4 linked regions of the Lonchura striata genome follow. The protein of the gene in region 3 binds, or shares a complex with, the protein of the main gene of each other region. Links are inferred from orthologs where the notes say so. Each region holds a gene or a part of one and is shown on either strand. Other genes may lie near its edges.

The links.
Region 1: the proteins of GNAI1 (region 3) and GPR183 are in contact, whole or in part, in a cryo-EM structure (PDB 7TUZ), measured with the Homo sapiens proteins. The link is inferred for Lonchura striata from reciprocal best matches to the Homo sapiens genes GNAI1 and GPR183. Residues at the interface, in NP_002060.4 of Homo sapiens: Arg24, Glu28, Arg32, Glu318, Tyr320, Phe334, Asp337, Ala338, Thr340, Asp341, Ile344, Asn347, Leu348, Asp350, Cys351, Gly352, Leu353, Phe354; in NP_004942.1 of Homo sapiens: Asn64, Thr66, Arg129, Ala132, Val133, Pro136, Leu137, Asn140, Lys141, Arg144, Ile219, Lys222, Leu223, Thr226, Asn230, Pro231, Leu232, Thr233, Ser236, Val238, Lys241, Ala242, Thr245, Ile246, Ile249, Ala311, Cys312, Lys313.
Region 2: the proteins of GNAI1 (region 3) and regulator of G-protein signaling 16 are in contact, whole or in part, in a crystal structure (PDB 2IK8), measured with the Homo sapiens proteins. The link is inferred for Lonchura striata from reciprocal best matches to the Homo sapiens genes GNAI1 and RGS16. Residues at the interface, in NP_002060.4 of Homo sapiens: Val179, Lys180, Thr181, Thr182, Gly183, Ile184, Val185, Gln204, Ser206, Glu207, Lys209, Lys210, His213, Ala235, Glu236, Asp237, Glu238; in NP_002919.3 of Homo sapiens: Glu86, Phe87, Ser88, Glu90, Asn91, Ala126, Pro127, Glu129, Val130, Asn131, Ile132, Asp133, His134, Leu162, Lys165, Asp166, Ser167, Arg170.
Region 4: the proteins of GNAI1 (region 3) and MTNR1B are in contact, whole or in part, in a cryo-EM structure (PDB 7VH0), measured with the Homo sapiens proteins. The link is inferred for Lonchura striata from reciprocal best matches to the Homo sapiens genes GNAI1 and MTNR1B. Residues at the interface, in NP_002060.4 of Homo sapiens: Arg24, Arg32, Glu318, Ile319, Tyr320, Phe334, Asp337, Ala338, Asp341, Ile344, Lys345, Asn347, Leu348, Lys349, Asp350, Cys351, Gly352, Leu353, Phe354; in NP_005950.1 of Homo sapiens: Arg138, Tyr141, Ile142, His149, Arg150, Arg154, Ile223, Val227, Ala230, Arg231, Lys233, Ala234, Lys235, Thr252, Met253, Asn312, Asn314.

What each region holds. Positions count from the first base shown.
Region 1 is NC_134604.1:78,150,032-78,158,030, forward strand, and holds the start of GPR183 (G-protein coupled receptor 183), read right to left. Parts: upstream 3,011-7,999; 5' UTR 2,944-3,010; coding exon 2,903-2,943; intron 1-2,902. UniProt on the Homo sapiens protein: G-protein coupled receptor expressed in lymphocytes that acts as a chemotactic receptor for B-cells, T-cells, splenic dendritic cells, monocytes/macrophages and astrocytes.
Region 2 is NC_134611.1:1,692,676-1,700,070, reverse strand, and holds the start of regulator of G-protein signaling 16, read right to left. Parts: upstream 3,003-7,395; 5' UTR 2,914-3,002; coding exon 2,834-2,913; intron 1,275-2,833; coding exon 1,173-1,274; intron 992-1,172; exon of another isoform or gene 750-991; coding exon of another isoform or gene 679-749; intron 546-678; coding exon 484-545; intron 1-483. UniProt on the Homo sapiens protein: Regulates G protein-coupled receptor signaling cascades. Inhibits signal transduction by increasing the GTPase activity of G protein alpha subunits, thereby driving them into their inactive GDP-bound form.
Region 3 is NC_134607.1:62,429,401-62,436,736, forward strand, and holds the start of GNAI1 (guanine nucleotide-binding protein G(i) subunit alpha-1), read left to right. Parts: upstream 1-4,318; 5' UTR 4,319-4,437; coding exon 4,438-4,555; intron 4,556-7,336. UniProt on the Homo sapiens protein: Guanine nucleotide-binding proteins (G proteins) function as transducers downstream of G protein-coupled receptors (GPCRs) in numerous signaling cascades.
Region 4 is NC_134604.1:38,877,112-38,884,234, reverse strand, and holds the start of MTNR1B (melatonin receptor type 1B), read right to left. Parts: upstream 3,016-7,123; 5' UTR 2,979-3,015; coding exon 2,762-2,978; intron 1-2,761.

The sequences.
Region 1 (7,999 bases), on a different chromosome or scaffold from region 3:
CTCTGCTTCACAGACATGTTCATGTGTGATGAGCTTTATATGTAGTATAATAATATTACATACATTTAACTGTTAAGAAGCACAGACTTAAGCTGGGAGCCAGCAGTTGCAGTATTACACCTTAGATTACATGGGTTGGGATTGTGTGCAAGCAGTGGTACAAAGCTCTCTCTGAATGCTAATTTAATTTCTTCTTTTTCTCATCTCCTGCTTTTGCTGAGGAGCACCATCTGTCTTTTCGGCTGAAGAGGGGACATGTGGAAGGCTTTTACTCTGTATTGTAATCTAATGTGATTTCTCTGTGTCCCTTCATAATTTTCATTCTTTGAAGATGAATCCCTGGTCCATTTGTCCCAGGTCCAGTTGCTAATTTAAGGAATCTAATTATATTCTTGGAAAGGCACAGCAGTTCAGTAGAAAGATCTCTCCTGTCTCTCTACACATAGTATGGTTTAATCACTGTGAGACGGACAATATTTCTTTAACAAATCATGTTGGGGGTTAATGTTGTTTTTCTATGCATAAAGAGTATAGATTATTTTAAAGGAATGGTCAGGAAAGATATTTATGTGCAAGATTCACTGATCTTACAGTCCTCTATAGATATAATCTGTGTAGATCTTACATTGTTTTAAAACAGTAGAAAATTGAAAATACACAGTACTGTGTTTTTGTAGATTTAATTTTTTTCTTAATCTCAATTTTTTTTTTTCTATTGACCAGACATATTTACAGTTTGTATTGCTATTTTACCGTACAGGTGATCTCTATTGTAGAGTGTTTCCTCTGTTTGAGAAAAAGGCTTGATTTCAACTAAGTTATGTGTATTAAAAAGTGTGTGGGCTAAGTTGCATAGTAGAACACTTAGTTAAAATAGAAAGAACATATACCTAAGCTGCATAATATGATGTGTGGACTGGCAACTGAGGACTGCATGTAATTTAATAAAAGCTGACACAAGAGACAGGCATGTCCTAAAGCTTCCTCTTTCTTTCTAACGCTATAACACTCATATGTTTCTAGTGCTTTTTGTTAATTTCTTTTCAAAAGCTGTTGAATTTTGTGTTCTAAAGGCTGGTGAGTCAACCTAATGACCTGAGGATTGAGTCCTCAGGTCACAACCCACAGTTAATTTTGATGAGAGAGTTTCCAGGCTAGTACTTTTATCCCTCTTTGGTATAGATCCAAATTTGTTGGCATAGTAAACCCAAATTTGTAATACACACATCAGAGAATCCCAAATATTGTCTTTACAGCACCTTAAATTGTTTTAACAGTGGCTATAAGGAATTAGAATATTCTTTAGCTTCTTAACAGAATATGCACAAGACTGTGGGATCTTTATGGTATTGCTTTTGTCTACTACTATGATTTTGCATGACAGTTGTTGTATGACAGTTATATGTGTTGCTAAAAAATAGTAGAACCTACATTAAGTGAGATGGAAAAAAAAGAAGTTGAGTTGAAGTGCATAACTAATTAAAGAAAAAGTGGAAGTAATTTGAAGGGTACATTCTGGTCTTATCTGTTGGATATCTCTTTACAAGGGTGATGTGTTCTATAAAAAGTGTGAGACCTATCTAACATAAATAATCTCTGTCAAAAACACATACTGACATGAAGAGCTGTACTGATGCTAAGATTATTAACTTCCCTTTAGTTTATACTTGCTTAGGTGTACCAAATGTAAAAAGGAGAGAGCCTAAAACTAGAGCAAATAAGCAAAATAAAAGTGTGAGCCACTGCAAATGACATTCTTTCTAGCAGAAGAAAAAAGTTGTCAGATGAGGATTTGTATTTTAGTACTAGAAAACATGTGCACCTATTTGAGTTTGGGTTTTTTTTTCTGAGTTACATTAAATCCATACAGGTATAGTATTTAATTTTAGGGTTTACAGCTTCAGATTACAGCTTCTTTATTAAGTTTATTATTATCTATACGTGGTACCAGAAAGAAATGAGATTTGAGCTCTTAAAGACTAATTGCTAGGTAAATTTTCAATTGCCTTGTCTCTTCAGGAGCAATCATGAAGATGTTAGACAGATCTCTTGTATTTTCTCCTCAAAGGCAAGTACTCTTATTTTTTTAGATAAAAGATAGTTGAATTATTTTCTGTGGGACTGTCTTGTTTTGCTAGTATAATAGGAAAAATGTATCCTTTTAAATTGGGAAGCTGTATAAAAATCATACCACTTGTAACATATCTAAAGATCAGTAATAAGGAGAGAGATGTTGGTCATTGCAGTTGAGAAGAAGAATGCCTTCTAAAAACCTTTCAAGAAATGTGCACTAGAAGTTAAAAAGAGGAATTAGCTCATAAAGCTTTGAACTCTTAAAATGCTCTGTTGCAATGTTACATGAGAAGAGTGAGAAGTTTTCGAGCTGATAATAAAGGCTGTTTTCATAGACAAGGAACGCATGTGATAAAAGCAAGCTATGCATTCACAAGCACAGCATGAATTTGTTTTAAGGCTCCCTCTTACTATTATTCTGTGAGGTTCAGTGACTTTAGAGCTTCAGTGCTTCCCTTACTACTTCTACAGTAGTTACTTCTGCACTAGTATAATTTAAATTAGTTGCTAAAAAATTGTCTAAGTTGAGGCAGTATGAAATGTTTCCCTGTGATTGTCAGAAGGCTGTATTATGAGAAAGGAGTTGGAAGAACTTGTTGATGCTGTAGATCAACAGATCCTTTAAGTGGAAACTACTAGTAGCATATTAATAAGGGAATATAAAATATCAGAGAATTTCTTTCATGGGCCTTTCCCATACAAGATCATTTATCCTTACTGCCACATGAAAATATCCAGTATAATGCAAAAAAGGAGATATTTCTGGAATTGTTTGCTATTGCTCAGTGGCAAAGGAAAACAGTAAAAAGTAGTTGTTTTCTGTACTTACATCTCTGTAGCTTCTTGGATCCTCTGAGCAGTTAAGGGCATTAACAGGATGGCTTGACTGAGAAGGTTTATCCTTGCACATTGTTCTCAAGAGTGATTACGTGAGTCCTTTGTGGGAGGGGTAGGGTTTTTTCAAGTGCTTAAAAAAGCTCCAGCCCTGTTTATGTGTCGGTCTTGATTTGCTGCCTACTGTTTTATGGGATGTGAAAGCATCTATTTTTGATCCTTTTACAATTAGTCTGCTCAAGGAGAGTAATTAGAAACAACACTTCCACCTCCCCCCTGAAGTTACACACTACCGACTTTCGCAGAAGGGACTTCACCCAGAGGTTTACTTGACTAATTGTTGACCGGCTAAAATCCCTCTCATATGAGAAAAACTTTGTTTATTTGCCATTTGAAGTTAAAAATACCTTAATTTACAGCAAAGAGCTGTGTAATCAGTACATACTTAGAACTTCTTCTTACCAACAAGATCTGATGCAGCACGAGGAAACCTCAAAACTGAGACATACCGAGATGTGGTGTTAAAGCAGATGTCTCAAACGCCCGTGGACATTCCCAGTATGGTTTTAGTATCATAATGATGAGGATTTACAGAAATGCCTTTCAAAAATCAATGAGGGAATTAAAGAACTCTGTGTCTTTGAGAGATTAGTAAAAATGTCTGCCTTTGTAAGTTGTTTATTACATTTTAAGCAGTGATAATAATGATAATGAAAAAGTATGGTAAATACATGAAAGATCAAAAGCTTCTAAAGCACAAATTTGAATCCCCTAAAATAATATTGACAAGAATGAGTGGCTAGGAAGTAGGAAGGGAATGAGATGACAAATTGTGAGTTAACCCATTTGTACCTGAAATAACCTTGTTTCTGGGTGAAGAACTTTTAATGTAAAAGTTAAATTGTGTGTTTGTTAAGAGGGTTTTGGAGATTTGAGGTAGATGAAAAATCCTTTCGTTTGCTGTTAGAGGCTGTGGTTGAGAGCTAGCTGGGATTTTCCCCAGAAACTGATACTGATCATTCATGACTGCAAAGGACTGTTTCATGACCTCATTTAGTGGCCTGATTTTAAACAACCAACAAGGCATGATAAGGGTATTTTTGGCGGGTCCAACCCATGCAGAGTGCAGGATGCCTCTGTGGAAATGTTAGGGCTGTATTCACAGCACAGGTGTTGGCTGACATTGTAGTGGTGAAGGTGTGTAGAGAGCTAGGATCTCTACTAACACATCCCTCTCATCAGAAAACCTCAAATAAATACAGGTCTAATGGCAAAGTTACTTTGTATTATAGGAAATGTTTTTGCTATAGCAGAGCACAGAGCCTTGTGAGCTACTCTTGTACCTACTTGGAGCACTTGGTTGACACCGTACACTGATTTTTCTTGTGTTGAACTCCCACTGTACACGACTTGATTCCCTTTAGATGCCAAAGAGCTGAAGGGCTCTATCCAGGGCTTTCAGCTCCTCAGTCTTAATGTCTAACATCACATTCAGAAAGTCTTTGGGGAAATTTACCGATTATATTCTGGATTATTTTTCTTCTGGATTATTTTATTCTGGATTTGTTTTTCCTTACTTGTTTTTGAATAATTTTTAAATTATTCAGCTTCATCAGTGAGTAAAATTGCTTTAAATGAAGTAATGAGAATTCAGGACTGCTTAAAGGGAAATTGCACAGGGAACTTGTTTCATATGTACACAAAGTAATACCACAGTGTGGTTCCCTGTCCAGCATCTAAGGTCTGCTGTAGAAATGGAAATTTTGAGATACGCAAATATGTCTTTGCTCAACGGCTGACATTAGTACCCCAGCTTCTTATTAAAGGAAGAGTTTGTTTCAGAATTGTTTTATCTTTATAAACAACACCAGTATGTGTTTCCTGCTTTGATCTGATAAAATATTGCCTTCATTTGATTAAGATACAGTACTAGATTGTACCCTTTGAGTCACACTGGTATATTAGATACCAATCCAGCCTAGCATGATGAGAAATTAGCTCAAGCTAATTGCTTGAGATAAATGGTGCAGGTTGCATTCTTTCACTAACTGTTTATCCTTCTAGCTGTTTGTTTTCTGTTCTGATACAGCTGCTCTTGGTCCAATATCTGTTTGACTGCTCCAGGATTTGGACATGTAAATTTAAAAATTGCTGTGTGTCAGAAGGTGTTTGTGTTTACCATATATGTGCAGACATACATTTGTGTTTACCATATATGTACAAACACTGTTCAGATTTTGACGGGCAAGATGAGGAACATGGAACCCCGCAGGTTACAAAATATATTGTTTGATAGTCTTGGCATGAAAATTTAAAGCTTACTTTAGGATAGGTGTCTGACTTCCACCTTCATGAGGGAATTGTAAACTGTTGGCTAGATTGTTAGCCTCAAATTTTAATGAACTGCAAGTTGCACAGATTCTGCAGGGATATCCATGGACAGGAGGAACCTTTCTTTTCACCTCCAGATGCATTTTTAAATTTTTTCTGCATTCTTGCTGCTTTTATGTGAAACATTGGTATTAGCTAGTGAATACTGGGTAACAAAGCCTAATGCTTTTGCTGCTATTGAGAGACCTCAGGCAATGGGCTGTCCTGCTTATGTGTAGTGAAAGGATTGGGTGCAGTAGGAGGGTCTTTTGAGTCCAAGGCAACCATCAAAGGTAGTCACATTCCACAGAGTTACTTAATTTTAAGGAATGTTATTGTGAATATTTAGCATGTTCAGAATAAAGGCTGGAACCTCAAGTGTAATATGGCAGTGTTTGGGCTGACTGTAGGAATGCAGGTCACTGAAATTACTTAGTAACTTGAATTCCAAGTGCACTGCTTGCGTGCCTGTATCATCTGCAGCTGTTTTTTATAAGTGATATTTTTAGTCCCCTAAAAAATACATGGTTGTGAATTTGTCAGTTTGATGGTTTTTTGGAGAACTTGAATGAAGAAAAACACAGCACCGCAGTTAGTAAGTGTAGTGAGTCATTCTGAATAAAATAGATTCTTTTTGCAGACTTAATCCCACAGAACTTCTGTTGACAGCAGCAAGCATTTTTGCAGAAGCTACATTTATTTAGCTTTCTAACCCTTTGTTCATGCATTTTAGAACCATTTTTCTTGTTGTGTGCATATATTTGCTAGTGCTAATGTTTTATTTTAATCTGCATTTAATAGTCACCCTTTTAGACTTTAAATAGTGCATTTCTCTTGTAAGATGTACCTGCCCCTGATTTTTTATTCTCAGACAATTTTTACATCTCTGATTTATTTTTTTCAAGGATGTTGTTTGTATATGTCTTTTTTTATTTCTTTGTACAAACCCAATCTCATAGATGTATATGCTGTAAAATGTTCCTATCTTGTCTCTGTGTTTCTGTTTCACTTTAAATGTTGAAATTTAATGTGCTCTTCAAAATGAGGATATAATTATTGTAGAGATGGCTACTATAGTACATCTTTGGGATGGACATGTAAATGTTCAAACTCCAGAATTCAGTTTTCAGGTTTTAGAGTTTTCTGGGTTGTTTGAAAATTTCATTTTCTATGAAAATGTGACTAAAATTAACTTCCTAAATATGAAGTGGGCAAAAACTCAGTTCAAGGTCAGAATATGCTTGCATCTATAGCCCTTCTTTGCACACAGACATCACAGATTTCTAGTAGAAGTTAATCATGGCACGTGAAAGGATGTTCCTGATAGTCTTATAGTATAATGAACAAAGGGCTGGGTTGGAGGTCGCTGCAAAAGGAGGGAAAGCACAGAAAAGGAGACTAAAAGAGATGAGAGGAAAATCAAATACAGGAGGATAAGAAAGAAGTGAAGGAAAAGAAAACACTGAAGTAGTCCTTCAGTAAGAATGTTTTCCACTTGTAGATGTTGAATCTGATCTATGATACCAAACAACTAATTAACATAACTTAACGAGTTAAGAGCCAGTCCTTTTATTTGCAGTATGTGGTTGGATGTTTGTAGCTGCCCAGTGAAATACAGGAACAGAAATTCCTTCAGCAGTCATGAGCTCTGGAAATAAGGCTTTGATTTTTCACAGAGCAATAAGGTAGTTTAGGTTTGACAGGATCTCTGACAGTCATCTAGTTCAGTCCTGGGTTCAAAACATGTCCAACGAGAATGTCCAAGTTGTATCTCTGAAGATGGAGATTGTAACTCTGGGCAGCCTGGTAAAATACATTATCCTGTCTGGAGTTGCTCTAGTATATTAATACCTTTCTTGAAGCATGAAGCCCTAAAGTGGACACAATGATTTAGATTTAGTCTCAGAAGTGCTGAGCAATTACTTCTTTTGGCCTTATGGCAACATATTGATAATGCTGCCCTGTATGTGATTGACCTTTCCTGCAAGGATAAAGTAGCACTCAAAGGCTGACTAACACTCAAAGGATTCTCCAGCTCCTTATCTGCAAGTCTTTTCTAGCCAGTCTATGCCATTGCCCAAGGTTTTTCCAACCCAGATGGAAGACTCAGTGCACTATTACTTCTGTTGAACTCCCTAACATTCCTAATGTTGACTCATTTCTCAAGTCCATCAAGGAATAGCTGAATGTGATCCTGCTCTCCAAAGTATTGACTGCTCGCTCTATTTTGATTTCACTCACTAGCTTGTTGGGAGTGCACTTTGTCATCCAGGTAGTTTAATAAAGACAATAAATAGTGTTCATCCCAGTATGGATCCATGAGAGAAGCTGCTAGTAAGTGCTTGCCATTAAAGTTGGTGCTGCTGATCAGAACCCTTTGAGTCCAGCAGTGTAGCCAGATTCCCTCAAATCTTCACTGCTTATGCAGTGCATATCCCTGTTTTTCTTTAAGGGCTGAAGAAGAAACCAAGTCAAAGGCCATCCTAAAGTCAGACTGTACAACATTTGCCATCTTCCCCTTCCTTACCCACAGTACCAGAGTCACTCTTGGTAAATCCATATGGGATATTAGCAGCTGCCTTGTCCATCATGTAGCTGGCAATGGCTCCTAGGAGTTTTGCTCTGTAACTTTCCCAGGGATTGAGGTGAGCGTTGTAACTGTCAAGATTCTCTTCTTGCCCTCCTTGAAGATGGGTGTGACATGTGCAATTATCCAGTCAGG
Region 2 (7,395 bases), on a different chromosome or scaffold from region 3:
TAGGGAAAGGGCAAGGTTATCCAGTCAAACTGCTGAATTCCTGCACCTGTGGAAGAGCCATCCCCGGAGGCACAGGACAGACAGACAGGGCAGCAATGCAGTTGTCTGAACAAGCCTGAGGGGAGGTGCCTGCATGGCTGTTTCCACCAGACACCGAGAGCAGACACTGCCTCTCCCCATTGTGGAGAATGGGGTGCTTTGGGAATACCACGATGTTTCCCCTCCTGTGACAGCAAGCAGCAAGACAACACTTCTGCCCCCCCAAAAAAACCCAGCCAGGAGGAAAGGGCACAGCTTCATGGGGCAGGCAATGAGCCCCGTGCCTCAGATCTGGGCAGGAAAGGGACTCTTTCTAGGTCCTATAACACCTCATTTGAGCAGGAGGTGAGATTTCATCTTACAGTGACTCCAGGCATACAGCTCACTATGAGTATATTTGTCCTACACACTCTCACCAAGAGAAGAAAACAAGATGCTACTCACTTTTGCTCTTGAGGAGCTGGTCAAAGGACTCCCTCCATTCCAGCACCTCTCGGGAGGAGTCTCTGGAAAAGACAAAAAGGATGTGAGGCTCACTGTCCAGCAGTGAGGGCTGGGAGCACTTCAGCTGTGCAGCTCCATCACCGGGAGACAGCAGCATTCAGCAGGAGACCAAAGCCAGGGGCCGATATCCATTACCTGTGGGCTCTCTTTCCTCTCTCTTCCCTTTCTTTCACCTTCCCTGATGGCTCACCCGACCTCATCTCCATGCTGCTCTAGGGGATGCTCAGAAGAGCCTTTTCCTGCTGGCCCAGCAGAGCCTCCCCTGCAGAAGACCCCCTGCCCTCAGCAGCAATATTTAGTGTTCCGTGTTTAATGCTGCCTGTATTCCCCGGGGATCCCAGCCGCTGGTGTGAGACACCAGGAAGTGCAGGAGCCCTGCGGGTTCCTTGCCTCTTGCCAAGGAACTTGCCTCTAGCTCTCTGTGCCTAATGCCAGAGCATCCGCTCCCCCGGCGGGTTTTATAGGCGCCAGAGCAGGGAAGCGATCCGCCTTCCCGGCCCGCCGGGGTGGGACCGCGCGGAGGGGAGCTGAGCTCCGCGCTGCGCAGCCGGCTGCAGCATCCTCGCCAAGGGCTGCTCCGTGGGGGCTCGGCCCGGGCTGCGGCCGGGGCAGAGCTTGGCTTGGCTTACCTGCGCCTAGAGCCCAGCTGCAGCTTGCCGGAGCTGCCCGCCTTGTGTCCCAGCTCGGCTTTATGAAGCAGGATGCCCAAGCGGCTCTTCAGATCCTTGGCTCTGGAAGGGAGGAAGGGAGAGAGGGAGGGGTGAGATGGGATCTCCGGACCATCGGTCTGCTGCCTCCGCCGGCAGGGGCTGCACCCCACGGGCTCGGGGGGTCAGCCCTCGCTCCCTAGCTCCAGCCACGTCTTTGCTCCCTGGTGTGTGAAATAAATGCTCCCCCATTGCTTTTCCTGCTCCCTGGCAACCGCGCATTAAGCCTGGGGGACCGGTTTCTCCTACTCGCTTCCCAGGCAGACACATGGAATACAAAGCACGACGAGCTCTTTTCTCTGGGGCAGGTAAAAGCTGCTGAGTGCCCAGCTGGAGCCCCCCCAGCTCCCCGGAGCTGGTTCCTTTTCCCACCCCGCTCTCCCCCAGTGCTCCCAAACCGCTGGAAAAACACAGCGGTTTCTTTCCTCCCGGCACAGCGGGAGCATCTCCTGCTGCTGCCAGGCTGCTGCTCCCCTGCTCTCTTTTTCGGGGTGCCCTTGGGCCCCCAGGAGCCTTTCACCAGGCCATGGAGAGGGCAGCGCTCCGCAGCGGCGCCATCCACCTACCCCATGGCTTTAGGAGGCAGGGGCAGCACGGATGCTCCTGTGCCAGAGGCTGGGATTCTCCTGTGCCAGGGGCTGGGATGCTCCTGTGCCAAAGGCAGCGATTCTCCTGTGCCAGGGGCTGGGATTCTCCTGTGCCAGGGGCTGGGGTGTTCCTGTGCCAGAGGCTGGGATGCTCCTATGCCAGAGGCTGGGATGCTCCTGTGCCAGGGGCTGGGATGCTCCTGTGCCAAAGGCAGGGATGCTCCTGTGCCAGGGGCTGGGATTCTCCTGTGCCAGAGGCTGGGATGCTCCTGTGCCAGAGGCTGGGATGCTCCTGTGCCAGGGGCTGGGATTCTCCTGTGCCAGAGGCTGGGATGCTCCTGTGCCAGAGGCTGGGGTGCTCCTGTGCCAGAGCTGGGATGCTCCTGTGCCAGGGGCTGGGATGCTCCTGTGCCAAAAGCTGGGATGCTCCTGTGCCAGAGGCTGGGATGCTCCTGTGCCAGAGGCTGGGATGCTCCTGTGCCAGAGGCTGGAGTGCTCCTGACTGTCCCCGCGGCTCCGCGGAGGAGGCACCTCCCTGCCGGGAGGAGAAGCGGCTCCTGCCTGTCCCCAGGGTGTCCCCGAGGCTGCGTGTGGCCCAGCTGCTATTTGCGTGCCCGCGGCTCGTTCAGGCGTCCCAAGGCGCCCGTACAAAAAGAAGGGTTTAAATGTCAAGCCGGCAGCGTGGGGCTTCGCGGGAGGAGCAACATGTCACTTAAAGAGTTCGGCCGTGCTGACAAAAATACTCCTGCAAGTTGTGCAGAGGCAGAGCCAGAAAAACCTGGTGTGTTTGTACAGCCCTGTCCAGCCTCCTCTCCCTCCGCTTGTTTCACCTCCGCGTTCCCCTCCTGCGGAGCAGAAGGGATGCAGCCACAACAAATGACTTGGCTGCGTGTTTTCTGCACCCCGGGTTCTACCCTACCATCACATCGGCAGCAGCAGAGGCCGGTCCGGGCGCGTCTCTTCCAGCGACCCCTCTGCCTCCCAGAAGCGCCTTACCTTTCCAGGCAAGTGATGGGGAGCGCGGCTAAGCCCCGGCACATGCTGAGAGCTGGGCACCCAGGCATCCAGCAACTCATCGGCTCCTCCCGGGGCTGGCAGGGGGTGCGACAGGAGGGCTGCGACACCAGCCGCCCCGCGGACCCGTGCTGGCGGCTGCGACGGCGGCGCGGAGCCGCGCTTTATATCGGGTGGGAGGCGGGAGAGCGGGGAGGGGGACCGGCATCACTCCAGCCTCCAGCCAACCAAGAGCTGCTCAGGCAGCGCCCGTGAAGAGGAGAGCTTAGGTAAGTTGGTGTGTGCTGCTAAGCGAGGGGGGAGTGGGAGGCCCAGGCTCGTCCTTGAGCATCACAGTCATAGCCGCTTCCCCGGGAACAGGAAAAAACAGGCTCGTGTCCAGCGACGTGTGGAGCCTGCTGATTAACCGGCGGGTGGGAGAGCGAGGGACAGGACAGACGCCGAGAGTCGTCAGCTCCATCCTCTGCTCCATCCCCTGCTCCATCCACTGCTCCATCCCCTGCTCCATCCACTGCTCCATCCCCTGCCCCATCCCCTGCTCCATCCTCTGCTCCATCCCTGCCTCCATCCCCTGCCCCATCCCCTGCCCCATCCCACTGATCCATCCCGCTGATCCATCCCCTGCTCCATCCCCTGCCCCATCCCCTGCCCCATCCCACTGCTCCATCCCCTGCCCCATCCCCTGCTCCATCCTCTGCTCCATCCCTGCCTCCATCCCCTGCCCCATCCCCTGCTCCATCTCCTGCTCCATCCCCTGCTCCATCCCCTGCTCCATCCTCTGCTCCATCCCTGCCTCCATCCCCTGCCCCATCCCCTGCTCCATCTCCTGCTCCATCCCCTGCTCCATCCTCTGCCCCATCCCCTGCTCCATCCCCTGCCCCATCCCCTGCCCCATCCCCTGCCCCATCCCCTGCCCCATCCCCTGCCCCATCCCGCTGCTCCATCTCCTGCTCCATCCCACTGATCCATCCCGCTGATCCATCCCCTGCTCCATCCCCTGCTCCATCCCTGCTCCATCCCTGCTCCATCCCCTGCTCCATCCTCTGCTCCATCCCGCTGCCCCAGGGCTTCCAAACCTCCCCGCACTTCCCCAGTGGTGGCAGCCCCCAGCGGGGTCAGGAGGGTTTGTGCTTCCTGGGGGGATACAGATGGAGCAGGAGGGTTTAATGTTTCCACTTCCCTCTTAATGGCACTGCCCGTTCACAGCTGGAATATATAAGGACAATGTGCTGGCTGAAGTTGCACTTCTTTGACACAAATCCCCTGCTGGGTGTGTGGTGAGAGGAGGGAGGGGAAGGGATGCACATCAAAAGAGCCAAAACCCGGGAAAGGATCTGATAATGGAGGATCCTGATGAAACCTGAAAATTGAAAGGAGATTAAAAGCCAGGGAGAGTTTGGAAACTGGAGGTGAAGGACTGAGCCAGCAAAAGAGAAAGATGAAGAGAAAGGGTTAAACCAGCACACACCAGCGAGCCCCAGGGTCTGGAGCTACAAGAACCAGAGGTCACTGAGAACCAACAGGCCCCGTGGTGAGCTCAGGCTCACAGGATCCCAGAGCTGCCCTCCCTGCAATTCCCAGCTCAGTGGCTCTGGAAGGGAGTGACCTTAACCCCCCTGCTCATGGCCAGCCAAGCACAAGGCCACAGCTGCCACTTCCACTCCTCATCCTCTCCCTTCCTCCCTGCTATTCCCAGCTCAGACATTTTTCCAGAGCTCAAGTTGTCTCCTACCCTTGCTGCCTGCATTCATCACACACAGCACATTGCCAGAGCATCTTTCCCAGGAGAGATGAACTGTGCCAGGAGAGTGGCAGCACAAAGTCATCTGGGCAGGAGAAAGGCTCCTCTCAAGCTGCCTTTGGGAGCAGGGGCATGAGGATATCTGGGTGGGAGACTGAGAGGGGCATGAGGCACCTCAGCCCCACCGAGCAGTAGAGTCCTGTCTTTCTCTCATCACTTACAAGAAGCCACAGAATGGTCTTGCTCATGGACAGACAGGAAGGATGCATCAGGACTAATGACTGAACACACACTTTTAGCTCCTCATGTAAGAGCAGCCTCTTTCCTGATGGCTCTGGGGATTTTCACTTGAATAATCATGTTTAAGCCTTCTTGGTTAGCAGATATTCAGCTACAAATAAATGGCTGGAGCTACACAAAGCTCTAATTCAAGTCTTCTCTGTGCCTTAAAACAAAAATTAGAGCTGTGATCTTTGCTGTGGATTTCAGGGAAGAAATAGAAGACTTGAGGAGAGAGGGCTGGAAGGTTGCCTTTGCCTGTACAGCTGCTGAGAGTGTCTGTGCACACCCAAGAATGTCTGTGCACACCCAAAAATGTCTGTGCACACCCAAAAATGTCTGTGCACACCCACAGCGTGTGTGCTTGGCATCACTTTTGGAAGTGCCACACCAGCCTGGAGCTCCACCCCAGCTCAGCACCACGCTGGGAGCACTGGGGTCACAGCAGCAGTGGCACCTGGGGGTGGGCACAGGCTGCTGGCACCCACACTCAACTGTTGCACAGAGTCAGGGCTGGAAAGGAGATCTGGAGATCATGCCAAAGCAGCTTGGCACTCACCTCCCTGCTGCAGCAGGTGACCAGAGGCTTTAGGGAGGCAATGCCCCTTCTCCTCATCCCCTACATCTACATCTCCTCGCTGGTTTTTCCACACAAATTCTGTGGAAATGTTCACCTCTGTCTCTTTCCCCTCTAGCACTGCAGCCCATCCTTGCAGCCGCAGATCTGCGAAGGCACAGGGTGCTCTGGTAACTCTCCCTGGTGTTGGAGGCACGCTCTGAGCAGGTCATACCAGGAGGAAAACCTCCAGGAGCCTGGCCACGTGTGGCAGGCACACGGGACAGATGATTCCTGGCTGCAACTCAGAGCCTGGCACAGCCACCGTGCTGGGAACCACGTGCTGCCTGGAGCAGCCAGGCAAATTAACTATGGCAAAAACACAGCTGGGATGGCAGCAACTGGGGGGTGTGAGCCAGAGCAGAGAAACTGTGCACATCTCTGCCCTGAGGCTGCAGCCTGCTGAGCCCCTCTCTTTGCTCCAGGCCCTGCTTCCCTGCTGCTTTTCCCCAGAGAAATGAAGTGCATTGGACAAGCGTGTGTGCGTGTGGTTTTACCTTGTCCCCTGTGGCAGCTTTTGAAGCTCTGGGCTCAGGTGAGGCCAAGCTGACAGTGAAGCAGAGCTGAGGAACTGCCCGTGGTGAGAGAACAACCCCAGGGAAGGCGTCAGTCAAAGGCTGTGGTTTTTTGGGGACCACAGCAGCTCAGCCAGAAGAGGCACAAAGGTGTTTGCCACAGAGCTGGCTCTGGGACACATAGAGTGCCAAATCTATGTGTGCAGGTCTGAGCCCAGGCACAGGAGTGGGATTGGGCTGTTCCAGCAATTTCCTCCTCACCAGGGCTGGGACAGGCCCTGTGGCCGCTGTGCCACAGCCACCAGCTGAGCCCTCTGCTCCCTGGGGCAGCTTTTCTGCCTGTCCCCTCCGATGGGGCTGCTCCAGGACAGGCAGCTGGGCAGCATGGGCTGCTCTAGGTGAGATATTTCATCTTGCACAGCTCTTCCCAGGGTTATGCAATAGCCTCCGAGCCCAGCCCGGCGTGTGTACTCAGATGTCTTCATGCTGCTCTGTATCTGATTGAATTACGTGCTTCCTGTCTCATTTAGCTTAGCAGCCTCCCGCGGCTCCGGCCCTGTGCCCTCCTTTATCAGCCCTTGTTTTGGAATACAAAAACCTCATCCGTGTCGCAATGCCCAGAGCCGTGCCACAGCCCTGCCAGCGCCAGCCCACCTCCCGGCCATCAGGATGGTCTCACCTCCATCCCAAAGCTCCTGGCAGCCCAGGCAGGTGCTGTGCTGCCTTCTGAGGCTGGGAGGTGGCTGGGCTGAGAAGGCACCCACAGCCACCCTCTGCCAGCTTTTGGGGGGCTACAGCCACTGGCTGGCTTCACCTTCATCAGCAGACACCCCCCCCCACACACACCCCCATCAGCCCCAGGGAGTGCTGTATTTGCAAAATGCCAGCAAAATTGGAAAACACAAAGTTTTCAGCCCCAAGCTACAGAAATGGGGTGGGGAATTGGTAAAACAAGGGTTTGGTGACATGGCTGGGCTAAGGCACCCACAGCCACCCTTTGCCAGCTTTTGGGGGGCTACAGCCACTGGCTGGCTTCACCCTCAGCAGCAAAATACACACACCCCATCAGCCCAGGGATTGCTGCTGCTGTTTCTGGGTTATTTGCAAAATGCCAGCACCTTTGGAAAACACAGAACCAAAGGTCTCAGCCCCAGAAATGGGGTGGGGAATGGGGAAACAAGGGTTTGGTGACAGGGTGCAAAGTGCCCTTGTGTATGTGCCCAGTGCACAGCTCTGAGGAGAGCTCCTGGCAGGAGTATTTTTGTGGTTTTATATTGTTCCAGTGGAATAAGGGGAAGATGCAGCAAGAGATTGGGATGGGGAGGCAGGGAGAAGGAAGAGGGGAAGAGCCAGGCTGAGCTGTGCTGTTGGGGTCTCACTGCAGGCAGGCTCC
Region 3 (7,336 bases):
GAAGAAGATACCTTGCATCATACTTTGGGAACATTATATTTTCTTAGCACAAAAGGAAATTAAATAACTTAAATAAAAAATATTGCAGTTCAGGTATTGAGATATAATTATGCATACAGTTACATGCTTTATTCAGAAAGAATTTTGCTTTGCTCTATTTACTTTTTCAAAGGCAGAAATTAAAATTCTTACCCACTTTCCTCTGTTTCTTTTGTTAACAACTATATTCAATTTCTCATATATGTTTTTGTGTACTGTGTCTGGTTAAAGACGAGCAAATAAGATGACTAAATTAGATAATTTAAATTAAAATCTGAAAACGAGCAAAATAGAAGGCTTAAGGCTGATCATCATCTCCATAAAACACTGTGCATTCCATACCAAACACAAGAAATTTATCTATTAAGTCCATGCAGCAGCAGCAGCTAAAGATAATCTTACAGAAAAATGAGCCCAGGAGCTGGTGAATGCAGACTCAAAAGGAGGTCATATCAAACAACAGCTATTTGTTGTTAAACCAAGCAAAACAACAAAATCTCTTGGAATAATCGCCTCTCAGGAATGAGGCCATGAAACACACAGCTCCTGAGCAATATCCCAATTTGTCAGATGAAGGTAGAAGCTGTGCAGTTCTAACTACAAGGATGAAATACTCTGTCTCACATAACCATACTGCTGTGAGGCAATGCTAATCAATGAGTTAGAGCTTACACATTCCCTATGTTTTGGAATAAAACACAGGGATCATGGGTGTACTGTCCAAATATAGACTAGATTTATCTACTTAACTATAGCTTCTTTCACTGTCTAGTAGACTATTTTATCTTAGAAGGAAATCCTTTCAGACATCAGGTACTGATCTGTGGCTGTTCCAGGTAGTGATTCAGGGCAGCACTGCTCCACAGCACCATGTAAGACATTGTTATAAAGCACTGCACTGACAACCTTTGTTCTGAATAGACAGAGTTTCTTGGCCACAACAGAGCTAGCACAATCATTCCTCAGCCCTCTTGGGCACTGTAAAAAGAGTTTATGCTATTCCATGATCCTAAGAACTGCTATGTGTGTGAAGCAACTAGAATACAATAATTTATCCCCTGCACCATTGCTGCATAAGAAGTAAACAACTGACATTGCTGAACTGTTGAAAAGCTCTCTTATTATTTCAAAAAAGACTGCATAAGGAAATATTGGTGAACCTGGGCCATGTAGTATTTCCACTTCTGAAAAATTAAAAATCTATACCAATTGGCTTCAAATTTCAAAGGAATGCATGTTAGAATGCTCAGGAGTTGCACTGTTTTTTTTGTAATATTGTCCATGTACAATCAGGTAAAATTTATCCACAGGGTTGTAATAGGAAAAGGTAGTAGAAAAGTCCTAATTATGAAATAAAGTGGGTTTGGGTTAAATAGAACTAAAAAGAGAAGTCAACCTTTATTTTTAAGACTAAGTTATATGTGCAGAAGAGGACATACCATACAATCGTGTTTTCCAGATACAGGGTGATAAAAAGAACAGGAACTTGGGGCTGTTTCATGTTTTTTGCCTATGAATGTAGTGACAGTGTTAAAGGGGAAAAAGGACAGAGAGAACACCCTAAGAAATACTCCTGGTGAAAAGTATAGAAATGTGTGCTCTATGCACATGATTAATTGAAACAAAATCCATGTGAAGTTGAGGTGTCCTACTTGTAGTATCTCCATTTCTGTAACATCTGCCGCTCTCATTATCACATTATTTCCACCTACCATAATCTCTGTTTACTACTTTCTTATCCCTTAATCTGTACTTTCACTTATAAATATCCTAACCACGTGTTATCTCAGAAATCATTCTTTATCCTTGATTTCCAAATCAGAAAAATATCCCTAAGCTTATTAATTTTTATCTCCACTAACTCTGTTCTTTCCTGAGCAGCAGTTGACATTGCTCCCTCTATCACAGGAGAGGTCAGGAACCCTAAAACAAGACTAGGTTTCCATAAGTGACATGAATTGTTTTGTAAAAGCTTTTATCCCACACAGTACCAGTGTGGAAGTCTGCCCAAGAGAACACAAAATGGACTAAGCACCTCAACAACTCAGGAGGGCAGAGAAGCAACAAACACCTCTCAGGTGCCCTGGCATTCTCCATAGCAGTGGGACAATGAAGATGACCAAATAAAATGTCTCTGAGGTCTAATAAAATCTTGAGAACTGATGTTCTTTAAGAAAGAATTCTGTAACATCCTTTACTAGGACTGAAAGTATGCCTACCAATCAGAAGATGAGAAAAATATTTAAGTTATCGTTTGAGTGTTATCTACTTCATTTTTTACATCATTACTTATGGTTTATTCATTGTCAGCACTCAAAGACCCCTGCAAAGAAGAAAATCTGACACATCCAACAAAAATAGAACGTTTGCTACTACAACTTTTCCATTGAGTTTTACAGGAAAAAAGCTTTTTAATTTGCTAAGTATAGTAATAGCTGAGTCTGACTTAAAGTTTTTGCACTCTAATGCTAAAACACCTTCTGTGCTGTAAAATGCTGCTCTTTTTGAGCTCATTCTGGGGGCAGAAGTTCTTGAGATTCTATAGAAATAAAAAATCCTGGACTCACTGGAATGATGAATCTTAATTTGAACAGATTTACCTTGTCAGCTTTTGCGCCTTATGTTTGGACCAAAGTTTATCCTGAGATTCACAAAGTTTTATCGGTTGTGCAGAGTTCTATCCACGAATTTCAGTGAAATCACTGCTTCACCCTATCAGTGCTCCCCAGATGGGGTTGTGGGTCCCAGTCGCACCGCAGCTCAGCTGGATTATCCCAAGGTCCCTTCGACCCCATTTGTTCTGTGATCCTATTATCGGGTAACGGGATCTTTCTTTTGCAATCCAAACAGCGCAACATGTGTGTGGTGGGGAAAGACTCATAAGCATTGCATAGTTTCCTTTGGATTTTTATAATAAAGAGCAAAACAAGTCATAAAACAACCTCTGGCAGGTCACAGATGTGCAGACAGCCCCGTGCCTGGGCTCTGAGCTAGGACAGAGAATTACAGAGTGGGTCAGGCTGGAGGGGGAATCTGGGGGGATCTGTTCCAACCTCCCTGCTCTAGCAGGGTCATCCCAGAGCACATGGCCCGGGATGGCATCCAAATGGTTCTGGAGTATCTCCAGTGGGGAAGGCTCTCTGGGCAACCCGTTCCAGTGCCCGGTCACTGCACAGTGAAGCTCTCTCTCATGTTCAGGTAGAACTATGTCTGCACCAATTTCCCTATTATCCCTCGTCCTCCTGCTTGGTACCACCGGGAACAGCCCGGCTCCATCCTCCTGGCACCCTCTCCCCCATTTAAATACTCATATACATGGATGAAGAAAGGTCCATCAGGAAAGAGAGCGGGATGAGCAGCTTTGAGCCGTGAGGTGGGATAGCTCGTTTGGCTTTGGGTTTGTGGGGTAAAGCTGACGGATGAGTCCAGGTAAGAGCCCGCCCGAGAGCCGACTGCCAGCAGCCAGCAACGGCGGGGCTGCACCCCGAGGTGCTTCCCTGCATCCCGGCAGCACAAACAGCAGGACGGGGGGACTGAGCAGGACGGGGGGACGGAGCGGGACAAGGGGACAGAGCAGGACAAGGGGACGGAGCGGGACAAGGGGACGGAGCGGGACAAGGGGACGGAGCGGGACAAGGGGACGGAGCGGGACAAGGGGACGAGGAGCTCGACCCCCTCCCCCCCCGGGGTACTCCATTGGTACAGCTCAGCCCGGCTCTCCCCCGCCCCGCCGAGCAATGGAACCTCCCGCGCGCGAGCAGTTTAAATTCGAGCCCCTCCCCAGCAACTGCCTGGGGCACGCGCGCGGGGGCGTCACGGGCCGCGCTGCTCTCAGCCCCGGTCCGCCCCCGCTCCCGTTCCGCTCCCGCTGCGTCTCCGCTTCCAGCCCCGCTCCCGCAGCGCTCCCCCCCATTCCGCCCCCCGCCCCAAAACGCCTCGCCGCCGCCGTGCGCACGCGCGGCCGCGCCCGCCGCTCTTCCCGCCGTGCACGCGCGCCCCTCCCCTCTCCCCTCCCGGCGTGGGCGGCGCGCGCGCGGCCGCGCGCCTCCGGCGGGGCGGGGGCGGTGCCGCGCGCGCAGCAGCCTCAGGGCCGGCGGCGGGAGCGGCGGCCCCGGTGCGCGGCCTCGCTCCGCCCGTCCGCAGCGCCGCTGCCCCCGCTCCGCGCTCCCCCGGCCCGGCCTCCCCGCGCCCCTCCCGCTCGCCGCCTCCCCTCTCGGCCCTGAGCCGAGCCCGGCGCGCGGTGCCCGCGACGCCGCCGCGCCCCAGGTGAGGGAGCGGGGGAGCAGAGAGCGAGCGGGGAGCGCTCGGTCCCACTCCCTCCTCAGCGCCGCCCCGCCGCCGAGCCCCGCCGCTCCCTGCCTCGCTTCTCCCGGCGGAGCCGCACAGCCCCGCGCCAAGATGGGCTGCACGCTGAGCGCCGAGGACAAGGCGGCGGTGGAGAGGAGCAAGATGATCGACAGGAACCTGCGGGAGGACGGCGAGAAGGCGGCCAGGGAGGTCAAGCTGCTCCTCTTAGGTAAGGGATGCCGTGAGGGGAGGCTCCTCTTGAGGCGGCCGCTGCCCGGAGCTCCCTCGCCTGCCGAGGGTACAGTTTCATAGGAAGCCTCCGGGCTGGGCGGGGGGCCGTGCTGCCCTCGGACCCCGGGGTGCGTGCTGGGGGCCCCTCAGAGGTTTTGGGGCAGCAGCGTCCTGGAGCAGGTGGAGCCTCGGCTGCTGGAAGGATTAGAGGCAGCGCCCGGGGAAGCGGCGCGGCGTGGGCTGCCCGGGCCCTGGCTTTCATAGGAACGGGATAACGCATGAAACTTCTGACCTGCAGTCTCTGTTCCTCTGATGAAAGGAAGGAAACCTTACGTTGGGGGGATATTTGCTCTTCATGTTTTCTTGTAGACCCGAACAACTCCTGAACTGTTGCTGCAGCGTAAAGTATAAAAAAGTGTCAAAAGAAGGCAAAGCACCATTTAACTTTTGGGTGGGGTTTTTTTTTCGGTTTTTTTTTTTTTTTTTTTTTTTTTTTTTTTTTTTTTTTTTTTTTTGGAACAGTTTCTGGGATCTTACAACGGGAAATACCAGCTTGATGGAGCTACTTACGTGTGTAATATGACTTACTGTCATTGTGCGTTCTTCTTCTTGAAACTTGCCTTTTTTGTGTATTTTAAGATATTCTTGTGTGTAAAGAAAAGGTTATTTTTAAAATTACAAGAAAATAGGAAGTGAGAATTTTAAATAGAGTACATTTGTTGAGGATTAAAACTACTGGAGGTTGGAGACAACTGAATGCTGCAAGATTTGCATTGAATTAATGTTGTAGGAAGTTTCGCAGTATGTTCTGTATAGCTAAACCAGACTGGATCTAATAGCCAGTTAAAATAGCTGCTGAGTTGCAGCTTCTCTCTCAGAGGTGCCGTTTTAGGCAAACTTTTTAAATGATGCACAATATCTCACTCTCCTTGACATTGATTTTGCTCTCCCGTAGTGCTCTATTGACTACAAACGTAGTAGACCTCTTAACTTTGTGTTGCTAAATTCTAAGATGGCTCCAGAAAGGGACAAAAAATTTATTGTAGATGAAGAAATGAAACAAATCCAGAATGGGAAAAACAAAGATCCTAAAATAACTTTCTAGATTTAAAATTTAACTTGTGAGGTAAGCCAGAAACAAAAGCTCGAATTGTTCTCCAGGAATTGGAAGTGGAAGCCTATTGGTGGAAACCTAAATCTGCTCAGTTTTGGGCTGGTACTGTGCCTAGTCCTGAACATCGTTGGAATCCTCAGATTATTTGTGGAAAGCTTTTCCTGTATGTGATAATAGCAATGCTGCAGATGTTGCTGCCTTTTTAAAAAGTGGCAAAGTAAAACTTTGTGTCATCTGGCAAGGCATTTGAAATTAATTTTCAATTTTTTGCTGTTCTGTGTGGAACTTGTAGTGCCTGTAGTTTGGTACTGGTTTTCCTATTTTTATCATAATTCTTGGCTACGGATGACATCTGTTTAAAGATGCTTTAAACTTAAGAATGGATTTTGTCACTATTTTAATGCTCTTACGTACTAAGTCCTATGTTATGAGCTCAAATTTTATAAATTCTCTGTTTCTGATGCTGGAAAGCCTTTCTGCTGGGCTCTCAGGAGAGCTAAGAGCATGGAACAAATGGTCAAATTGCATGTAGGTTCTCAGGGTGCCCTGAGCAGCAGTTCTCTTGGGTTAGCATTTCCTTCTCCCCTGCTAAAAAGAGGTGTGAAGGCTGGCAGCCTGGCTTCTCCTGGGACCAGTGCTGGGATTATTGTTTTAACAATGATTGCCTAAATGTTTAGTGAACTCTGGATGAGCCTTTGTGCATGCACCCATGGATATTTATTTCACATGTTTTGGAATGAAAGTTTTTTGCCTTCCTCTTCCTTGCAAGTCTGTCAGGTGTCTTGAATGTGATGTGAATGCTTTATCTGGTGGCAAAAGTATTTAAAGTTATTTCCACTAGAGTCACTTTCTTCTCACCACTCACTTTCCCAATTGCTTGTTCAGCCCACATGTCATAGTTTATCATCCACTTGGTTGTACTCCTACATCTATTTATGGGTTTGTTCTGCTAAAAAGGTACTGAAATAAAAGGAAAAGTAAAAATTGTGGTCTGCTGCCAGGCAAATGCAATGAGCGAGTGGCAGTTGAAACAACCTTATTTATGTAAAAAAAGGTCATGTAACTGTATACCTATTATTATTATTATAGTTGACCCATTAAATTGGATTTATTCCAGCATATATAAAAAATCTATTTTTGCCTGGTGATTAGAGAAGCCTACTGAAGTTTGAGCTAGAATGCTCAATTGAGGGAAGATGTGTTCGTAAAATTAATCGATTTCTAGACTGGAAACTTAATTTACTCCATCATATGCTTTTCTAAGTTTTTTTTTCTAAAACAGGAAATTGTAGGGATTCAGTTGAGAGAGATGTGACATTGCTGTACCTGAACCCTCACTGTGAACAAAATCGCTGATACCTGTTAAGTTTCTATTTTGTTGTCCTGTCTCTAGGAATAAGCAGATATATTTAATCTACCCAAAATACTATTGAACTGGATTGTCTGAGTTTTTTGTCATATATGTAAATTGGTTCATCACTTCCTAAAATTTTGAATGCAGGTATTAGGAATAAAAATACTGGATTCTAAACATTATTCATGTATAGCTATTTTAGCCTTGTGATTCTGTGCACTTCAATGTGCTATCCCCAGGAGCAGCAGAGCCTTTCCTGGAAAATTTCTGAGAACCATCATTCTTAGAAGTAAGCTGAATTTGACCTTGTA
Region 4 (7,123 bases), on a different chromosome or scaffold from region 3:
GCTTTCTGAAGGCATGAATACTTCTTGTGCCACAGAAGTAGGCAGAACTGGTTAATTTATTCCTTATATACCTGTGACTTATTTGAAGTCCCAAACTCTCATCCAAGAAAAATCTCTCATTAGCTTCTTCAAAGGGAACTGAGTACTCATGATGTATAGTTCTTCCTTCCTTCAGACATCTAGATGTCTTCCTGTCATAACCATTCCCCTAACTTCATCTTTTTCTTCTCTGACAAGGTCTCACTCTTTTCATGCAGTTTTCCCTCACCATTTTGCTATCTACTGCATTCACTCCCCTCGCAAGTACAAACACATTGTTTCTCATTTGCTCAGAATAGAAACCTGCAAGTCCACCTGCGTTTCCTTCTTTCTTTGTCAAATTGTAAGGGCTCCCAAGTACTGCCTTAGCTCTCTGCCACTTTCCCATCCCCTCTATCACTCCATCCACATCAGTTTCCAGTCCTCTTCCACTGTGCTTCCTCCCTAAGAAATTTTACCTGAAAAGACTTCTGTAGACATTTACCAAACTATGCCCTTTCAGTTTCACCTCCAAGAGTCATGTCTCCCTGACGTAAAACAAAGAACTGGCAATTGAAAAGGTATTTAACCTTATGAAGATTATGTAGAAAGAATTCCCTGCTGTTTTTCACAGTACTTATCAAAGATAAAGAGATCTTTGGGACAGGGTCAGCGACATCCCATTAAGGATTATCGCGATTAGCAGGTATTTGAACTAGGTAAAACGACTATGTTTGGGGGTTTTTTGTTGTTGTTTTGTGGTGGTTTTTTTGGTGTATTTTTTTTCCCCAGCAGTCCCAGGGTGCCACAGAGCCACAGAATACTTTGATCAGTATCTTGAAAGTTACTCTTCTAGGCATCACTCTCTTCCAGTCCAAACCCTCCCCTTTGCTGTTGTCTGGGTGAAGGGAAAGTTTCAGAAGAGAGTCCCTCTCTTCCTCTCCCTGGAAGGGATTTGCCGGCCGCCCTCTCCAGCGAGAGCCTGTTCCCTGGGCGCTTCCTGCCCCCGGAATCCCTCGGGAACTCGCCTTCCGCCGGCACGGAGGGGGCCGGGAGGGGCCGGTGAGTCACGGCGGGTCCCGCGGGACTCCCTTCCCCAGCCCAGCCCAGCCCAGCCCAGCCCAGCCCAGCCCCGCTCCGCTGCCCCGGGGCAGCGCCCGGCGCCGCTCGGCGGCCGCGGTCCCGCTCGGGGCGCGCAGGGCTCCGGCTCCGGGCGTGCCGGCACTGCCGGCCCCGGCACGGCTCTGCTTCTCTCGGCTTGTCCCCTGGGACGGACAGACCAAGCACAAGCGCATGGACTAGCCGCGGCCACCCCCATGTCTTCCCTCGTTCAGCCAAACCACCCTTCCAGACGTTCTCAGGTGCGGTGCTGCTCGGGGCGGGGTGTGATCTCTCAGCCCCGTGTAAACGGGGCTTGCCGGCATCCCCCGCCTGCAGCTAGACGTGCAGAGATTGGGGAGAGCAAGACTTACCCCTCCATAAACTGCTTTTGCCCCTAAGCACGATTTCACTCAAAGCAAGTGCCTACTCCCCATTAGCAGGAGCTCTAGTCACCGCACGTGAAACACGACAGAGCACTTGGGAAGAGACACTGGTTGAAAAAACCCCAAACCAACACCCCCAGGAGAAACAAGCCAGTAGCTCTTCCTCCTTCCCAGTGGCAAGGGAGCACCCGCTGACACAGAGGATCGATGGCAGAACCCTCTGGTTCCGAGAACGGGGAACGTAGTGCTTCGGACTCCTGCCAGCTCCCAGCAAAGTTTGGTTATCCCGACCTGCGTGCGCATGTCAAAACGAGGGAACTCGAAGGAATGAGGAGTTCCGGGAACAGCTAAAAACTACAAGAACTATAGTAGATACACCACGGTTTCGGGGGTAGCACTTTATACTGCATCCAGCGGAGCGCAGGTGTGCCCAGCTCTGCGCATCAGGGAGCAGTCGGCTCCATCGACGCGGGGAGCCGGAGGGGCTGTAGGATCCGCACGCAGAGGGACGTGCGCCAATCAGGGCCAGAGAAGCTGGTGAGAAACTACAGAGTTTTGTAGTTTGAAACACGTTGTAAGCAGCCCGGCAGATAGGAGGAGATAAAGCCAGTAAGTTTAGCAGGTAAAAACCGCAGAGCAACATTCTAGCACACACAAGGAGAAATTAAAGGCACAATTCAAAGACAACACCCCACTTTATTTGTTACGTTCTGTCTGAAGGATATGCGATGAGGAGACAAGAAGGCGATTTTGTGAAGACTACCGTGAACTCTGATGCAGACTCCAGAGATCGGGCTGAGCCGCTTCCCCACGCATGCACAGCACCGTATCTTTAGGACTCTTGAGCAAGTTTTAAAAGCTCCTCCTTCACGCCTCCGACCACTTTGGGCACGCTTTTCGTCGCCGGATGGCACCGATTCCCCTCCTCGGGAGCTCCATAGAGACCACATAGTGCCTCATTAGAAACCACGGAACGACCTGCGCTCTCTAACGGAGGGCAGGACGGACCCCAAGGAGAGCGCAGAGGCGGTGCGCTGGGAAGGGTGACTGAGCCCCTGGGGATCCCGGCACACACTACAGGGCAAGAGCAACGGATGGGGGCTCTGGTCTCCCGCCTTCAGGAGGCGGCCCGCACGGACTCGACAAGCGGGCTGGGCTCCTCAGGACAGCTGGAAGCGAGGACCAGGATAGCGGCGGGACTCCGGGCAGTCGCTGCTCCCTGCCGCCGCCGGGGCAGGGTGCGGGGGTCAAGCCCTTACCTGAGTTCCGGAGCTTGCGGTTCTTGAAGACGGAGAGGATGACCAGGAGGTTGCCCAGGATGTCCACCACGGTGGTGAAGATCAGCACGCTGGACAGCACCGGCACCACCCAGGCGGGCCGCGGGGCGCCCGCCGCCGCCGCCTCCCGTTCCGCCAAGCCGAGCCGGCCGCGCCCGCCCGGGTCACAGCAGTTCCTCAGGGAGCCGTTCTCCAGCATCGCGGCCACCCCGTCCCGGCGCCTCCCCGCGGTGACCGGCGGCGGCCCCGCGGACTGACCGCGCGGGCGGGCGGGAACGGCTTTAAGGGGCGCGCCGGGCGCCGCTCCGCCGGGAGGGGCGTGGATGGGGCGGTACCAGAGCCCCCTCCCCTTCGCGGGCGGTGGGGGAAGCCCGGGGGCGGGCCCAGCCCCGCCTGCCGAGGGAGGGAGGAGGCGGTGGCCGGCGGGAGCGGCGGCGCGGAGCGGCGGCGGCTGCCGGGGCGGGGGCAGCCTCCGCGGGTAGCGGAGGCGGCCGCTCTCGGCCATCCCCGGTGACAGCTTGCGTGCCCGGAGAGCCGCGGGGACAGGCGAGGGCGGTGGAGAAGCCTCTGTCCCAAAGCGCTGCTCCTGCCCCAGGGCTCAGCTGCGAACATCCGCCATCCGCCGCCGGGAGAGCGCTTGTCTGGGGGTTGTTTGTGTTTTGTTCTGGGGAGTTGGTTTGATTGTTTTTTCCCTGCCCCGCGGCTCGGACCGCTGTGTTCCTGGCAGCGCAAGGCCAGCGCTCCCCCCGCCTCTCTCGCCGCCAGGCACACGGTGCGCCCAGACGAGTGTTCCTGGCACATTCCTCCCGTCGGCCTGGCAGCACATCTGAAAGGGTCGTACACTGCCTTCGCCGTGGCCTTGTGCCTCGCGTTTGAGCACAGCGGTCAGGCCGAGAATAAGGGCTAAGGGCGATAACTGCGAGCGCCACGGGCGGGACGTGCCCGCGCCAGTGTCGGCTTCGGAAGCTGGGCGCGTTTCGCGGGATTTTCCTCTCAAACTGCAGGGCTGACAGAAGGGCTCCGACGGGCTTCCCTCTGCAATTACGCTTGAAACATATCGTTCCCTTTGGGCCCCGCAAAGTGACAGCTACCATACGCTCATTTGCATCAAACAAACAGGCGAGACGCGTGCGGCAGAGGAGGGCACAGCCCGCGGGTCGCCGTGCCCGGCTGGCGGCGTGGCACCGCCGCCACGTGCCGCTGCCACCGGCACCGGGCGCACACAGCGGGGCCGGCAATTAGGGCTGCTCTCGGCAGCCGTAACTCGGGAGGGGTTTGTGCCCTACTTCGCATTGTTTTCAGGCCACCCAGGTCACACTGTATCGCTGTCCTGCTTTCAGAGGAAGGTATGCCCCCCAGTTTTTCAAGAATTAGATCCTAAGGTAACTTGCCTTGTGGAGTTAGGTTGGAAAAACAGGACAAGTTTCTGTCTTTTCTAACTGTGAATAACTTATTTGGGCTCATTGCTTCTTTGAGACTTACCATGCACTGGTGTGATCAAAACGCTAAAGATTACTTTGTATTTTTTGATTTTTTTTTTCTTAGAAATAGTTTACTGTTCAGTTTTAAATCCTAGTCAATTTCAAATAAACTGAAGTAGTCCTGGTTGGAATGAACATAGAATCATACATGTGGATTTTTTTGTGCTGCTCTTATTTACAGTGATTTAAAAAATAAAAAGAAAACAGCCCTACTTCAGATGCTTTCTGTTTAATGTAGGCAATATGTAAGTCATCATGGTCCTTTTCAAACTACAGCTGGAGTTATCACGGCTTCATGGCTTGGATCAAAAATGAACCTTCTTCTGAGAATTATCACTCCTAAATAGTTGTTTTGCCATTCTGACGTAGGAGAGTAATAACTGTTCTCTTGACAGGACAGGCTCATTCTTGATGGAAGTGAGAGTTCACTTCATTTTCCTTTTTCTTTCTCCAGAAGCTGAAAAGGTAGCTGATCCAAGGAAATGCATATTTTCTGTATTCATCAGTGCAAAGGAGGATTTTTCACTAATGATCTTTAAGAATAGTTTAAGAATAACTTTTGTGTTACAGTGTTTCCCTTTATCTGCCTCTGTTCCAATTTCTCCTTTCAGAAAGTTGTTATTCTCACTGCCCATTTTCTATGTACTACTCTAGACTTATGGACTTGTTAGGGGAAACTTGCACATATTATAATTTATTTCCATGCCTGAGGCTCTTTCTGGGCATCCTTCCAGAATCTGTGTAAATGCTTTCAGGAGAACTGTACCATTTTGTTGTCTGTCATTACTACAGGATTTATCTTTAACTGTTTGTTGAAAGCTTAAACTGTCCCTGAGCATAAACGTGGCTTTTCAAAGTAGGCTTTGCTCCCGGCATTACCCAGGTCTGCAGTTTGTCCCCACAAGAGGAACAATGTATTTCTCCCTGTCACACACAATTGTTATGTATCATTGCTCACTTCATTTAATAACTCCCAAAAGTATACCAAGTGATTTAGAGAAAAATTAGAATGCTATGGCCTGAGCTTGGCCCGAAGTATAAGCCTGCCACAAAATGTGAAACAGACTGAAGCGTTCTGGCTTTGGAACAAGAATCTGACTTTGGTGGATGCACTGGCATTTGACATTAGAAAAACAAGCAGATCAGAATAAAACTGGTACCTTTCCTGCCTCTGCAACCTGTAAAGAGCATGTTCTTTATCTGCTCTGAATTTCCACTCTCTTCATTAATATCAGTAACAAAGATTGGAATTATTATTTGGTGTTGTCTGTCAAAGGATAAATTATAAATGTTAATCTTCTTTGCTTTGCGTAATGATTGATTAAGATGCATTAAACGATCTGTGGATGAACTTACTCAGCTTTTTAGTAGCCTTATTTCCAATTAGCCAAATTCTCTTTGAAAGTGAAATAGGTATTTAAGCCTATTGATTGTTGGAGTTATAAAATAACTAATTGTTGCAAAAAGCTCTCCATCTCAAAGGAAGAGATATAGTCTTCACAGTTGGATTTTTAAGACCTTTATATTTTTAATTTTGGGGAAATATTCTTCCATGTCTAGGAAAATTAGCCATGTCTTGTGTTTCTTTTTGAAAGCAATCTAATTTTTTTAAAAGGCAAGCTCTATTTGTTTTGCAGGAATTGCCTGAATAGTGGAGCAGTCAAATATTCCATGCATTGCTCGGCTGCCTGAGGCTAAACTCGCTTGTCTTTTTTTTTTTTTTTTTTTTTTTTTTTTTTTTTTTTTTTTTTTTCCTTTTCATTCTGAAGGAAAATGACTGCTTCCTGGAAATACATTCAAGCACTTTTTTCCCTGTGATTTGCTGATTTGACTTTCTAAATCTGTAACTGATCACAGAAGTCAAAAGTTTTCATGAGCACAAATAAAATTTCAGGACAGAGGATCCCTTTGGTAAAATCTCTTGAATTTCAGGTATTCCACTGAGGAAGAGATTATATCTCCTCTGTGTTTTTTATTTCAGCACTCATTTCTACAAAACCAAGGGACACTTATAGCTAAAATGGACAGTTTCCAAATAGCATTCCTACTTCTAACTCAACTCAGTCTGAGTTGATTGTTCTCACTGTGTACACCACGGTAGGGTTTGGAGTCTTATACCTTTTATACCTCTTTCTATACAATTAGGGGTTTTTAAATATATGTCTATATTTTTAAGTCAGCTTGAGCCCACTGTTTAAATTAAAGTCTGTCCACTGGTATCATGAGCATGTACAAAAAGGGTGGTATCTTCTCTGATCAGGAAGGGTCTTTCCCTTCTGTAGGAACAGAAGATTCACTTATTAACACTTTCTGGTCTGGGTTTCATCTTTTCCATGCAATGTTAATATTTTTAATGTAGAAATCAAAGCCTTAGTTAGAGGAGGATTATTTTGTTGTCCATAATTTTCCAACCCCTTTTAACCTGTTGGAAATTGCCCATAAAATGAGATCTGCCATCCCAGTCTCAATAATTTATTGATGTTTTAGTCACACTGAATTTCCATGGCACATAAGAGGATCCTTTTGCTGTGAATTCAGTGAAAAGAGTCACCCATTTTTGAAACTTTAATCAATAGATTGGACAAAGCAGAGATGTGGAGTGGGAAGGGATTTAGGTTGAGTATGTCTCAAGCTAAGGGAGAGAGAGAAATCGAGATCAGCTTCCCAAGGATTGTACACATTTATTGCCCTGTGATCATTGGATAGGTGTGGGAAGTAGGTGGAATAGATAACCTTGTGAATGACTTTCTGCTGAAACTGAAGAGGGTATTTGAGGACTAGCTTAGACTAGGTATTGCAGTGTGAGGTGATTAAAGGGGAAGATTGCTTGGGGAAGATTATTCCAAGGGTTATTGCAGGACTA